Linked DNA regions of Sus scrofa. The protein of the gene in region 1 binds, or shares a complex with, the protein of each later gene. Links are inferred from orthologs where the notes say so. Each region holds a gene or a part of one and is shown on either strand. Other genes may lie near its edges.

Region 1 (7,702 bases):
AGGGGCAGGTCTGCACTGGGCCTGACACCACTCTGCAAGCAGGTAAGCAAATGCCTGCTAGTGTGTGTTATCATTTCCATCATAAAATGGTACACATGAAAGCAAGAATTCTCATTCAACAAATTCTAGCCAGCTGTTTAAAGGCATCCCTGCCCCTCCCCACTTTATAGAAATTCAATTTTAATCCAAAGAAACGAGGCAGTTAATATTCACAAAAGAAATCACAATGGGTTTTCTTTAAATAGAAAACCTCCCTGGCACATTTTAAGGTATTGCATCAATCATAAAAATTGTATTTGCCAACTTTCCAGAAGCATTAGCTATTTAAAGGAGTCGTGCCTCTGACCACTGGAGAGGATTTGGGCTCCTCTGACGGACCCTCCCCCTAAGACCTGAGGTCACGTGTCCACTCAGAGCTCCTTCAAGGACCTTTGACAGCTCCTCCAGCTGCTGCGAGGAAACACAGCCCAGGAGGCAGGATCTTGCCGGCTCAGTGTGTCTGCCGTCCAAGGGACTTGAGGCTTGTCAAGGAGGACAGAGCTAGAGCAAAATGATTCCCCTGCTGCAACGAATGTTCCCCCAAACCTCCAAGCTTGAAAGTAAGAAGACACATACTTGTTTTTCAAAACCAGACCCAAAATAGTTTAGTTTTGTGTTCTGAAAGCAACACGTCACTACCCTCCAGCTCTCCATTTGCAACTTCCTAACATCTGACAGAGCAAAGACATCTGTTGAGACCTACAGGGAAAGAGGCAAACTTCAAAGACTGTACGAATCTTGTTCAGAATGGGGCTTTCTGCAGAACCTTATGCAAAGCATAACATAAGTGTAACAGAAGCACGTCACTGAGGGGTGTCAACTCTACCTCTCTGCCCCTGGGGCCTTTGATGCTACAACCCCCTCCACAGGCCTGGCTCTCCTGGGGCTGCAGGACAGACTCTCCCCTCAGCCACCTGGGAGGGAGCTCCATTCTGCTTCCCATTAGGTCCCCGCCCCACTGTTCATAGGAAGCACAGCAGGCTCAGCTGAACCTACCCAAGGCCAGGTTCAAGGTCACAGCCTCTCCCCTCTCCCCAATCCCCCAGGATTCATTAATAAATAACAAAGGCCAGTGGTTGGGCACCAGGAATGTTCTAAAGACAGTGCAGAGTGCTTTACAAGCGTTTCTAACTCAATGTCAATAGCAGCCCCAGGTGTCCCAGGTCACATGCCCCTGGTCTGCTAGGAAGCCTAGCAGCTTCTGCTTTGGTCTCAGGGATCTCAGGTTGCCAATGTTCCCTGGGCCCAGCCTCCACCCTGTGAAAAGCCCCTGGGAGATGCTTTGGGCCACAGTCCAGCTGAGCCCAGTGGGCAGCAGCAGTCGGCGCCACTCCAGATGGGAGTGAGCAGCAGGTGAAGACAGGAGCCCCAGATGACAGGAGCAGAGGCAGCCACGCCCTTCGAGCCCTGTCCAAAGTCCTGACCCATAGAATCTGCAAGTGACTAATAAAATGACAATGATAGGAACTGCGACACAATTCATTTATACACTATCCTCATGCTACACCTGGGGAGATGCAGGAAAGTACAGTCAGGAAAAGGCAAGGCTTCAAACCCAGGGGTGAGTCCAAAGACATGCTCGGTGCCACCCATGAAGCACTACTAGTCATCCGTCCTCTCCAGGACACTCTGCCCACTTCAGCAGTGTCTCCACCTGACCTGCTCAGACACAGGGCAGTGGTTCTCAATCTCAAGTGTGTATCAGAAGCCCCTGGAGGGTTTCTGGTTCTGGCCACCTAGGATGGGGCCTGAGAACTTGTGTTTCTAAAGAGTTTGCAGATCATGCTGCTGCTGCCTGTCCGGGAACCACACATTGAGAACTCAGGTACAGATCTTGGAGGGGTAAAGGGAATTTCACATGACGTGTCTGGAATGAGCTATCATCACACGACTGTCACACACACAGCTCATGCCAAAACACCCTATCCAGCCCACAGCTTTCTAGCGGCTCCCAGGGCAGCCATGGCTTGGCCTGGTCCTTTTTCACACCATCGCCTCTGTGATGTACAGACGTGGCGGAGGGCAGAGATATTCCTGATAGATGAGTGGGTGGCATACGCATTTGGGGTAAGAACACAGCTGAAAAGCTCTTTTGCTATGTGACAGCTTTCTGAAGCTCAGTTGCTAAGGGAGCCATAGGGAGAAATAAGTGTAGGAAAAAAGGTGGAAGAGTTGAGCACTGACCACATCTTGGACCTGACCCTGACAGAGTGAGGCTCATGAGGTTCTGCCTGCCTGTCCCATGAGACCCGTCCCCAGTCTTATCTGAGCATGAGAGGTAGCAAGTGCTCAGGAGCCAACCTTGAATGTCCCAGCAGCCTCAGTCTCCCAAGTCCAAGGCAGCTTCCAAAGCAACTGCAGCCTCCTGCCCCTGCCTCTGCACGTATCTCTCCCCATCCAGGGCGCGTTCCTCCAACCCTGCACATCCAAGGGTTTGGGGGTTTTCCCACTAGTTCAAGGACACTTGCTGCTGACTCAGTTTTAGAGAAAACGCTTATCTACTAAGTGAGTCATTTTGATTAAACCAGTAAAACAATACACAATATGAAAAAAAAATCTGGTCCAAAGTTCTCTTAAGTGTCTCTGTTTGAAAAATAACTGAAAGATACTAGCTATTATTTTACGGCTATTTCTGAATTTTATGAGTTAAAATTACTACTATTTATTAATCGCCAATAAGTGCTGGGACCGGTCCATACTTCTGCGTACTTTGTCCTTACAACCAGCCCCTTCAGGTGGGCATTACCACCCCCAGTCTACCCAGGAGGAGACTGAGGCTCAGAGGTACAGAGCAACTGGGCCAGTAGATGGTGGAGCCTGGGAGACTCAGACCCCCACTTCCCAATTCAGGCCTTGGTCATGAAGACCTACAGTTCCTTTCCTCAAACAACCCAGACCCCACTTACCTTTCCCCGTTCCCCTCTGACCACCCTGCCCGGCTGCCCACACCCAGGCCAGACCTTGCCAGGCTGGCCGCAGCCTTAGTTCCCGGGCCTTCTCCCCTAGCTGGGCTGGGGAAGGGGTTACTCTCCCCTCTACCCGATCCCAAATCCTGACAGCGCGTGGCGGGATTCAGTCTCTGCAGAGACCCGAGGACTGACGGGCAGTGGAGCTGGTTTCTGGGGTCCCAAACGCACCGGGACTAAAGCCAGCGCCGTGGGTCTTCCGGGCGAAGGTGAAACTGAGAACTGGGAGGCCCCACCACTGCTTCCTTCCCGGCTGCGAGCCGATTCCGGCTACGGGTCGATTCTGGCTACTGGCGGGGCTCTCCTCCTCGGCCACCCGCCACAGCTCGATTTGTTTACACGGGCAGGGCTGCTCCCCAAGCGAGTCGCCGGCCCGCACCTGGCGGTGGCAACAGCCAAAAGCTTCTCGGTGCTATCTCCCGCCGGGACGGGAGCAGGAAGTCCGGCTCCGGGGTCCCCGCGCCCTCCACCCCCGCTCGGCGCAGGCGTCTCACTGCCTCCCGCGGGCGCGCACGGCATGGGGCGCCGGGACCCCGTTCAACGTGGGGGGTGCCGGCCGGGTGGCAGGGGAGTGGGCCGGGCTGGGCCGGTGGGTGGGGGCGGGGTGACGGCGCCGCACGCCCGAACGCTGAGGAGGGGGCGAGTGCGGCAGCCGTCGCCGAGCTCGGGCGCCAGGGTCCCCGAGCCCACTCACCGGACACATTTAACTGGCCTCCCAGGAACCAGCCGATCTTGCCGCTGCGGAAGTCGCAGTCGCTCACCGTGTGGTAGGGGGTGTCCCACACGAGCACGTCCTTCGCCAGCGGCCCCCAGAAGGCGGCCGGCTCGCGCGCGGCCAGCGCGATCCGCTCCTGATAAGAGCCGGGCGGCGCGGCGGGGGCGCTGCTCCAGAGACGGGGGACCCCGGGGCCCCGAGCCCCCACCCCGCGAAGGCCGCCCAGGAGCCGCCCGACGCCGCAGCCCAAGCAACGGGCAGCCATCGCGCCTCAGAGCCCCTCGCGGCTGTGGCGACCCAGCCCTCGCGCGCCCGCGCCCCGCTTCGGCCCCGCCCCGCCTCCCGCCCCGCCCCGCCCCCCGCCCCTCCTGTCTGAAGCTGCCTCCCGACACTCCCCGCCCCCGCTCCGCCTCTGACCACCGCCCCCCCCTCCGCCCTGCCCTGTCCCACCCCTCTTCACCCCACGCAGAGCTGGGCTGCGAAGGGAGGTGGAGCCCCTGTGGAAGTGGAGTTGGGAGCGCGGCGGCGGAGGGGGTCCCCTGCCGGGCTGCCGGGGTTTCAGTTGATGCGTCCCCGACGAGTTCCGACGGCTGCGCCGTTTTGTCAACCGCAGATCTGCGCGGGCAATGCAGGCTCTCCTGGGAGCTGGAAACCGTCGCGGGTGGGAGGGAGCCGGCACAGATGTTAGTGACCCGCGGAGCGAGGCGCACAAGTTGCTCCAAGGACCACTCGTCAGGTTTGGTCGGTTCAGCATCTCAGAGGCTGAGAGCAAAGTGTTCATCCCTTTGTGGGGCCTCGAGATTGAATGCTTGAGCGGCCTGGGTGGCCTGTACGCCTTCCCCCAAAACATACACAAGTAGTCCCCGTGGGCTAAGTGGGCTGGTCAGGGGTCCTCGGACCAGGAGACTGTAAGACCTTGGGTCTGGGATCTGGTGCTTTTATACAGCAGAGAAGCAAACATTCCACCAGCCATGATTGATTTGGAACCGTGGGAGTTCTCAAGCGCAGCTCCAGCATCTGTGGCCTGAGGTCAAAATCTGAAGTTTCTAGCTCTGTATCCCGGGACCAGTTCCTTAACCCCTCTGTGCCTACACCGACTCCACTACTGAGTTCCCTGGTTACCCCTTCCAGGCTGCACATTTCAGACGCCGACTCGTTTATTCTTTAAGCAGCCCTGGGGAGGTAAACAAAAGTAATGTCTCCCTGGGGGGAGGAGGGTCTCCCAGGGGACCCAGTAGTGAAGGCTGTGTTCCTGTTGTCAAGCTGGGAAAGATAGTGGGAAACCCACAGAAACTTGTGGCAACTAGACTCTTAAATATTACAACAAGCACACAAAGTAAACATGTAATGTAAACAGAAGGGAGAGGGGATTTTTGAAAACTGGTTGGTCGAGTGCTTTGGGTTTAGCATAGATCCCTTCCTGTTAGCAGTAGGAGGTATTTGTGCTGTCAGTCAGCCCCAGCACGTGTGCCTGTGTGCCTGTGTGTGTGTGTGTGTGTGTGTGTGCTCACCCTCCTGCTACTGCTTTTTAAGGCTGGGAAACCAGTGATAACAGCTAGCACTAGACATGGGTCCTGCTCTGTGCTGAGCATTTACTTGCAATTTTTACTTAATTTAAAAATTATCTGGTTCTGGACTTTCCGTGTGGCTCACGACATAACTATTCAGCATTGCTTCTACAGTGGCTGTGGCTCAACCCCTGGCTCAGGAACTTCCATATGCCACAGGTGCTTTAAAAAAAAAATTATCTAGTGCTATCAAGTGCTGCCAACTCTCAACTCTCAAGTGGAACAAGGGACTCACTGAGCAGAGAGAAATAAACAGAATTGCTAAAAAGCACGTGGTGCCAGCACACCCACTCCCACCTCAATATCCCCCTCACTTGGCCTAAATCATCATTTTAAATAGATTAAGTAAATTGCAACAGAGAAAGACCTTAACTGTGGCCCAGGGGTGGGGGGAGTTGTCCCCAAAGATGGCCGCTAACACTTCACTCCCTGATGTAAGAGGCTCCCCTACAAGAAGAGTCTGTGTCCCCCACAAGTGGGCAAGCACTGCCATTCCCACTGTCCCAGGTCCAGACCCCACAAGATCACAGCTGCAGCCCCTGTGCTCTTGGAACCCAGCCCCATGCTGGAAGTGTCGAGCCTTCTGGAGGAAGAGATTCTTGGAGAGAACAATGGAAAAAGTACATAGAACTGACAATACTTTAAAATAAAGGAGCACAAAGCTGGCATTTCCTTCAAGTTGGATAAAGAGAGGTGATTGTGTGTTCAGAAAACTGCGGAACCATCCAAGTGGCACAGAATTGCACTTCCTAAAGCCCAAGCTACCCAAGCTGAGGCCACTGAAGCCAAGGCCACCAGCTGCCTCCTAGAAGCCACCTTCTGGGAACTACAGCAGGTGGAGCCACACTGCACCACGCGTTTGGCCACGACCATGGCCAGAGAGCTGCTTCCCACCGGTCCTCCCGTTCTGAGGGAGCTGCTGCTGGCCAGGCAGTGCTGGTCATGGATGCCTGTGCCTCTAAGATGGGCAGGGTCTTCAGTGTGTGCAGAAAGCTGGACCTCAGCAGGTGCCGAAGTAGGAAGCCTGGGAGAGTTTCTGCCGGAGCTGGGCTTCCTTTGTACCTCAAGCCTGATGTTCAAGTTGGAAACAGTGATCCTCACAACCCTGGGAGAAGGATACTCTGGTCCTCATTGTACAAAGGGAAAAAACAGGAGATACTCCCACCCAAGGCCACACAGCCGGAAGGGGCCTCCAGCGCTCACAGCTTTAACAGTTTAGGGCATTGCCCTTCCTAGGCCCTCCCTCCCACAGTGCTGGGAGCTGCAGCCCTGGACCCCTCTAAGAAGCAGCTTTGTGGGTATCATCCCCAAGACCCACCAGTCCCCCCAGGCAGGCCCGCACTGAGTTGCCAGACGTCCTTGCTTCTCTGCCCTGCTGCCCTCACTCTCCCACCGACCCTCAGTGACAGGGTGTCTGTGGAGCCCCTCCTGTGTGCATGGCCCTGTGTGGAGGCTGTCAGCTCAACAAGGATGAACCAAACACAGCCCTGAGCCCAAGGTCACAACTTGGGGTTGGGGTGGGGAGGGGGGAAGGCTGCAGTGAGACAGATACCAGCTCAAATGACTGAAATGTGAAGCAAAACCAAAACGAAAAATCCACACTGAGAGCCTAGATGTGGGTCAGAGGAAAAGCAGACCCTGCCGCTTCAGGGGTTCTGAGACAGGCAACACAGGGTGTCAGGCTCCTGGCCCCGTGTCCCCATTTCCCAGTGTCCCCATGACCTCAGTGGCAGTGAGGATGCATGGGGAGGCTTGTGTTCATGGCTCCAACAAGGGGCCTCCGCCTGGAACACTGGACACCAGATCCTCGGGAGTAAGCACGCACACCCCGTGTGCCCTCCCGCCCGGCTCCCAACTCAGCAAACTGCCCCTGCCCAGCTCGAGAGGCACTGTCCATCCTGTCCCGTCCCCTGTCCCCACCCCAGCACAGCTCTTGCAGCCAGCTCCCCGCAAACCAGCTCTATCCTGGACTCCAGTGCAACTAGAAACAGTCTGACAGATGTTGGTCCCGTAGCTTCTGAGAATGGTGGCAGTTCTGGCTGAGAAGTCTTGTATTTTGACACACAGAGAATTAAAAGTTGAGGGGCTGGGCAGCTCCAGGGAAGGTGCTGTAGGCTGGGTCTTGGAGTTTCCTTTGAGCCTGAATCACAATCAGTGGGCAGGTGGGGAGAAGGGCGCCTCTACTAGAGAGGTCAAGGACAACCCTACTCTGAGAAGCCAGCCCCACACCAAGCCCCTCACCCTGAACAGCCTATAGGTCCTACACATGCCAGATAGGCCCCATGGCCACTTGTCCTCGAGGTCCACCTGGCAGAGACCTATGCAGTCCCTTCGCTCTGACTCCAAGGCCCCAATGCCCAGTGAAGGCTGCCCTGTCCCTTCATGACTCAGGCCAGCAAAAATCCTTGGTCTGA
Region 2 (7,142 bases), on another chromosome or scaffold:
TTCAGAGGAGGGCGAAGTGACTTCTCAGTGTGTTCAGCAGGGGCTTCATGAAGGAGGTGGCCTTGATGCTGGGAGATTTTGGACATGCTGAGGTGGAGAAAGGTCTTTCCGGGCAGAAGGAGCTGGGTTTAGGGTGTATACAAAACCAGGGAAGGGAGGGGTCTGTGAGAGGGTCATTGGAGTGGAATGTTGTGCTGAGATATCAGGGTGCCATCAGGGGCAGAGGGTGCCAGGGAAACCTCAGCAGCAGCGTGTAAGCAGGTCGGCCTGTGCAGATTTTGCAGGAGCCAAAGAAAAACCAAAGACAAAGAGCAAACAAGAGGGAGTTAGGATCACACTCCTGGAAGATAAACTGAATTGTCCTCACGTGTATCGAAGATGTGCTTTCAGGGTGTTTATTTCCTGCCTGTATCACACAAGAGTAAAAGAAATACTCTGAAATACTCTGTTTCCTGTGTTTATGTCTGTCTTCTCTTTAGATTGATCAGTCAGTTGGGGAGAGTGTCAGTTCAGCTGGTTTAATCTCTTTTCCTGTCAGGGTTCAGGGGTTCATACTGAGGTCTGATGTCCTGGAGATGGGTCTCCTGAAAGGTAGATGTGGTGGCTGCCGGTCTTTGGGGTATGAGGAAGGTGCCCTGTGCAGTGGGGTTGGTGTCGTGAACTCTGGGCAAGTTGCCAGCGTGGTTCCAGGACCTGAAGAACTTGTCCAGCTCAGCTGGTTGCCGAGCGAGGGCCCCAAGAGCCGATCAAACACCTAGAAGGCCTTTTGGCCCACGCGAGGCTCTAGCTCTCGGGCCCCCGTGCAGGTCTTCAGGTACTGCTCCAGGCTCTGTGCTGTTTGTCTCTGCCCTCTTCCTGGTACTTTCCTGAGCCTTGAGCCCTGATGCCTCCCTGAAGCCTATGAGTTGGGTACCGTGTACCTTGCTCTTTTTTTCTTGTGGAAGAGCATCTCATGCTCCTAACAGTTAACCTTGTGAAGTGTCTCAGCTCCTTGCTTCTGGAGGTGACCTGAAAAGCCTAGAATTTTGCGAGAGACCGAGAGCTGCGGTCTGCCCACTGCCTTGCCTGGGATGTGTGATTTGTTTGGCTGCTGTGTAATATGAGCAGCATCCTGAATGGCTGTGAGTGTGGAAGATGAGGTCTCTGCAGCAGTTTGAATCCCTCGCTGTCAGGATATGAATCTTTCTTTCTGGAATGATCTCTTGAATCCGCTTTTCATCCTGATAATATTTTTGGTGTAAAGTCTGAGACTTTTAACTCCCTTTAAATGTCACTAAGTCTTTGTCATATTCCAGGTATGTTAGGGGGTATGGCTCTGCAGAGCCTGTCCCCAGGGCCCTCACAAAGGGATGCTCCTGGCTCTAGCCTAAGCCTTTAGCACGAGCCTTTGATAACGAGAATTGTGAAATTATTTGCACAGTTCCCATTAACCTGAAAACTTTGCTCCCCAATTCATCTTGATTTGGGAGTTTCTGTTTTATCCCATGATATGGAAGGTGGTCTTTTGGGGGCAGCAGGGAAGTGTGTGGTCATTCTCAGTGCTGCGGGTGGGGAGGTGGGTCTGCTCATTCTTGCTAGTGTGAGCTTGATTATCATTGGTTACCTGGCCACTCTCCTTTTTCTGTCAGTATTACAGGTGGAAGAAGGTCCATATCTTTTTCTCCCGGTGCCTCAGGTGTCTGTGGAAGTGGAGGCAACAGTAAGAAGCAGCTTCTCCTGCAGGACATAGCTGAACTGATTAAAACCAGAGCCTGCCGGCGGGTGGTGGTCATGGTAGGGGCCGGCATCAGCACGCCCAGCGGCATTCCAGACTTCAGGTGCCCAAGCATCCCTGTGCCCCCGCCTGGCCCCCCAGCTGCCCATGGCTTGCTCCACCTCCCTGTTCTCTCCTGAAGGGCTCAGCGCCTTTCACTTCTCTCTGCAGATCTCCAGGGACTGGCTACTACAGCACCCTCCAAAGCTACGACCTCCCCTACCCCGAGGCCATTTTTGAGCTCTCATTTTTCTTCCACAATCCCAAGCCGTTTTTCACTTTCGCCAAGGAGCTGTACCCTGGGAACTATAGGCCTAACACTGCTCACTACTTCCTCCGCCTGCTGCATGACAAGGGGCTGCTCCTGCGGCTCTACACCCAGAACATCGACGGGCTTGAGAGAGGTGAGGCCTCCCTTTGTCCCACACCCTCTGCTCCTGCAGGAGGGCTCAGGGGCCCATTTCTAGGAGGGCTGAGGCCTCGTGTTTATTCTCCATCCTTGTGGCTGATTTTGAGCCAAAAAAGTTGTGCCTTTATCCCCAAGAGAAATGTCCTTGCTGTTTTAAGTGTCACTGTTGGAACCTCATTGGTGGACCCACTTTCTGAGCTTTGATCTTTGGATGGAACTGAAGGTCACAGTGGGAGCTTCTAGTTTTGCTGATCTGATCCGATGATGTATTTTTCTAAATTTTCATTATGGAAACGTTTGCGCAAGTAAAATACAGAGAAGAATGTGACGAACCCTCATGTCCTCATCACCGCACCTTCTCACCTCATCACGGCCAGTCTTCGTACAGTCTGTGCCTGACCCTCCTCCTCTCTCACCCCTGACTGTTTTGAAGCACGCCCCTCCCTTTATAAACTTAATCTATAAATTCAGCAATTGATATTTTTGCTGAAGATAAAGGCCTTTAAAACACAACCACAATATTGTTATCACACAAAGAAATCACTCATAACTGCTTAATATCATCAAACATGGTGTGCGCTGATTTCTGGACTGGAAGGCAGCCACAACCAGTGATTCATGGGTCGTACCGACCTCTGGCCTGGCCGTGTACCCCAGAGAGGCCGTTGTTGGGCCTTTTTCATGCATGCAGTGATACTGACTGGTGCTAACAGTCAGCTCTGAGCAAGTTAGCAGCAGCTCATCGGGCTGCAGATGTCTTGTGATTTGAAGAAAGGGGTTTTCCTGACCTCAGGAAAGTTTATTTGCTTGAAAGACTCTACAGCTTGGAGCCACGTAGGCAGCAGTGACTCCCCCCCAGGAACGCAGCAGGGCTGGCCTTGCGGGAAATCTGGCTTTGAGCTTTGTCATACGCAGAGTTACGGGGTCGGCGGGAAACCGCTGCAGCCAGGACCCGCGGCCTTTCAGAAGCTGCTAGTGGTTACATAACGTTCCTGGTATGTTACCTCCTGTCTGTTTTTCCACAGTTTTTGGAAGTCTATATTATTTTCTCACGTTTACTGGTGTCTGTAGAGTTGAAAACGGTCTCATTGGTGTTGGATGTAAAACTTCACCTGTTTGTGTACTGTTTTCACAGGCTTTGTTTTAACTCTGCTTTGGCTTCACATCAGAGCCTCATCCCTGTGCTCGTTCTGATCAGTGGGGTGTCATCTGTAGGTGATAGAGCCAGGGACATCAGGCTTCCCCTGAGGGCTGACTCCTCCTGGGGGGCCTCCTGAGCCCAGAGGTTATGCTAAGGGGCTTGTGCGCCCACCCCAGAGGCAGCAGCACTTAGCTTTGGTTTGGATTCCAGCGTCTGGCATCCCTGCCTCAAAGCTGGTTGAAGCTCATGGATCCTTTGCCTCTGCCACCTGCACCGTTTGCCGAAGACCCTTCCCAGGGGAGGACTTCTGGGTGAGTTGTGACACTGACGGTTCTCTCCCTTCCGCACTTCTCATTGCGAGTAATATGGGGAAGTAGTTTATAAGCATCATGTCAGAAGGACAACAGAACAGTAATACCGTGAAAATATTTTTCTGTGCTTTTGCATTAGAAAAGTAACATGTGTTTATAAAAAATTAAGGCAATGTAAACAATAACTGTATAGCACCGAGAACTGTATTCGATATCTTGTAATAGCTTATAGTGCAAGAGGATCCAAAAAAGGATACACACACACACCACACACACACACCACACACACACACACACGTATGTAGAACCGAATCACTTTGCTCTATACCTGAAACTAACACAATGTTGGGAGTTCCCGTCATGGCTTAGCAGAAATGAATCTGACTAGCATCCATGAGGACAAAGGTTTGATTCCTGGCCTTGCTGAGTGGGTTAAGGATCTGGTGTTGCCGTGAGCTGTGGTAGGTCGCAGACACGGCTCGGATCCCATGTTGCTGTGGCAGTGGTGTAGGCCAGCAGCTATAGCTCCGATTCAACCCCTAGCCTGGGAACCTCCATATGCCATGGGTGCGGCTGTAAAAAGACGAAAGACCAAGAAAAAAAAAAACAAACCCACAATGTTGTAAATCAATTTTGAAAAATGCTCAGGTCCTAACTCCTGGTACCTATAAATATAACCTGACTGGGCAATAGGATCTTTGCAGATGGGAAAAAAATTAAGGCAGTACAGAAATGTGTAGGGAAAAATGAACCTCCCTTCAACTAGTTCCCGTAGTCAGCTTTTGGCCGTGTGCTGTGTTGTGATCCAGGCCTGAAAAACAGAAACATATGTGTGTATAGTAGCACACATGCAAATTTCTGTGCACCTACACCCACACCCACATACAATTACATTTTTTTTCAGTAATGGGATCATCAGGATTAATATTGTACAGTTTGCTTTGTTGCAGAGCAGTTTCATGACTATCTTGTGCCAGTAACTGCAGCTCTGCTTACGGTTCTTGGTCACTAGAGAGCATTTAATTTAGTCCTTTACCTGTTTGGGGATATTCATGATATTTGTGATTTTTACTATTAAAAATAATATAGTAGGAGTTCCTGCTGTGGTGCAGTGGGTTAAGAATCCAACTGCAGCCGCTTAGGTTGCTGTGGAGGCATGGATTTTATCCCCTGCCCAGCACAGTGGGCTAAAGGATCCAGTGTTGCCGCAGCTATGGCTTGGATTCAGTCCCTGGCTTAGGAATCTCCGCATGCTCTGGGTGCAGCCATTGAACAAGCCAGAAGCCAGTGATAGTCCAGGCTTACGTCCCTGTGTACCTCTGTGAGTGTTTGTGAGTAGAACAAGTTTTCTAAAGTCGAGTAGGATAGAATGGAAAATCCTAAAGCAAGTTGAAACTCTGAAATATCGATGTGGCGCAGGATCCTGTGTTTTATTTTTTTATTGAAGTGAAAATCACATAACATAAAATTAACCTTTTTTTTTTAGGGCCACACCTGTGGCACATGGAAGATCCCAGGCTAGGGGTTCAGTTGGAGCTGCGGCTCCAGCTCCAGATCCAAGCCACATCTGTGACCTATGCTGCAGCTCTCGGCAACACCAGACCAGATCCTTAATCTACTGAGCAAGGCCAGGAATCGAACCTGCATCCTCCTGGATACTAGTCGGGTTCTTAACCCATGGAGCCACAATAGGAACTGCCTGAAGTTAACATTTTTAAAGTGTACAGTTCATTGGTACTTAATATGTTCAGAGTTGTGCAACCACCACCTCTAATTCCAAAGTATTTTCATCACCTCAAAGGAAAACACCGCACCCACTAGTCAGTCAGTCATCTCCCCTTCCTGCCCCAACCCCTGGTAACCCCTGATCTTTTTACTTTCTCCATACTTTTGCCCTTCCAGAATGTCGTAGAGTTGGAATCATACAGTGTGCTGCCTTTTGCTCATTGGCTTCTCTGACTTAGCATCGTGTATTTAAGGCCCCTCCGTGTCTTTTCATGGCCCGATAGCGCTTTTATTTTGAAGGGTGAGTGATAGTCTGTTGTCTAGATGGAACCGTTTGTTTGTCCCTTCACCTACTGAGGGAGCTCTTGATCGCTTCCAAGCTTTGGCCGTTAGAATGACGTTGCTCTAAACATCCATATGCGGGTTTGTATGTGGACCTGAGTTTTTGGCTGCTTGGGGTCAATGCCAAGGTGCATGATTGCTGGATCGCAGGGTAAGAGTATGCTTATGTTTGTGTCTTCCAAAGTGGCTGCCCCGTTTTGCATTCCCACCAGCAGGGAATGTGAGTCCTCGTTCTCCACATCCTCATCAACACGTGGTGCTGTCAGCGTTCTGATTTTGGCCATTCTAGTAGGTGTGTACTGGTATCTCGTTGTTTTAATTTGCAGTTTCCTAATGATACATGATGGTGAACTTGCTTCATATGCTCATTTGCCATCTGTATATCTTCTTTAGTGAGGTCTTGGGCCAATTTTTTAACTGGGTTGTTCATTTTCTTATTGTTGAGTTTTTTTTTTTGTTTTTTTTTTTGTTTTTTGTTTTTGTTTTTGTTTTTGTCTTTTTGCCATTTCTTGGGCCTCTCCCGCGGCACATGGAGGTTCCCAGGCTAAGGGTCTAATCGGAGCTGTAGCCACCAGCCTAGCCAGAGCCACAGCAACGCGGGATCTGAGCCGTGTCTGCGACCTGCACCACAGCTCAGGGCAACACCGGATCTTTAACCCACTGAGCAAGGCCAGGGACCAAACCTGCAACTTCGTGGTTCCTAGTCGGATTCGTTAATCACTGCGCCATGACGGGAACTCCTTATTGTTGAGTTTTAAGAGTTCTTTGTGGAATTTCCTGGAAGCCTAGCAGGTTAAGGATCCAGCATTGTCACTGCTGTGGCCCAGGTGGGAACTTCCATATGCCAAGGATGTGGGCTAAAAAAAATTCTTTGTGTATTTTGGATAATAGTCCTTTATCAGATACATCTTTCGTAAATATTTTCTCCCAGTCTGTGACTTGTTATCTCATCCTCTTGACATTGTCTTTTACTTTTAATGGAGTTTGACTTACTGTATTTTTCTTTCTTGGATCGTCTCCTTCCGTATTGTGTTGTCCATTCTGAGTCTTTTGCTCTCCATATAAACTTGAGATTAAGTCTGTTGCTATCTATTGTCTACAAATTAAAATTTTTTTTCTCTTTGTCTTGGGAGTTTTGCACTTTTAATGTGGCGTGTCTCCATATGGATTTCCTTTTATTTATTCTGCTTTAGATTTGTAGAGCTTTCTGAATCTGTGGTTTGATGTTTCATGTTTGCTAAAAATTCTCAGTCATGATGCCTTCAGACAGTGAATGCTCCACCCACCTCCGGTCCTCTGTGGACCTCGGGTTAAACATCTCTGAGAACATCTCACACTCTGCCCACAGCCCTTGGCCACGCTTCTCTTTGTCCCACCTTGCTCCCCTTTGTGCTGCATTCTGAGTCTTTCTCCTGATCTACTTTCCAGTTTATCAATATTCCATTCTGTCATAGAGGATGA

The links. The genes of interacting proteins can lie anywhere in the genome.
Region 2: the proteins of ACSS1 (region 1) and SIRT3 are in contact, whole or in part, in a crystal structure (PDB 3GLT), measured with the Homo sapiens proteins. The link is inferred for Sus scrofa from reciprocal best matches to the Homo sapiens genes ACSS1 and SIRT3. Residues at the interface, in NP_115890.2 of Homo sapiens: Ser640, Gly641, Lys642, Val643, Met644, Arg645; in NP_036371.1 of Homo sapiens: Gly145, Ala146, Gly147, Thr150, Pro151, Asp156, Phe157, Arg158, Ser159, Glu177, Phe180, Gln228, Asn229, Ile230, His248, Ile291, Val292, Phe293, Phe294, Gly295, Glu296, Pro297, Leu298, Gly319, Thr320, Ser321, Leu322, Glu323, Val324, Glu325.

What each region holds. Positions count from the first base shown.
Region 1 is NC_010459.5:30,835,731-30,843,432, forward strand, and holds the start of ACSS1 (acetyl-coenzyme A synthetase 2-like, mitochondrial), read right to left. Parts: upstream 4,032-7,702; 5' UTR 3,986-4,031; coding exon 3,700-3,985; intron 1-3,699. UniProt on the Homo sapiens protein: Catalyzes the synthesis of acetyl-CoA from short-chain fatty acids. Acetate is the preferred substrate. Can also utilize propionate with a much lower affinity. Provides acetyl-CoA that is utilized mainly for oxidation under ketogenic conditions.
Region 2 is NC_010444.4:43,923-51,064, reverse strand, and holds part of SIRT3 (NAD-dependent protein deacetylase sirtuin-3, mitochondrial), read left to right. Parts: intron 1-1,628; coding exon of another isoform or gene 1,629-1,770; coding exon 1,771-1,817; intron 1,818-1,924; coding exon 1,925-2,157; intron 2,158-3,513; coding exon 3,514-3,614; intron 3,615-7,142.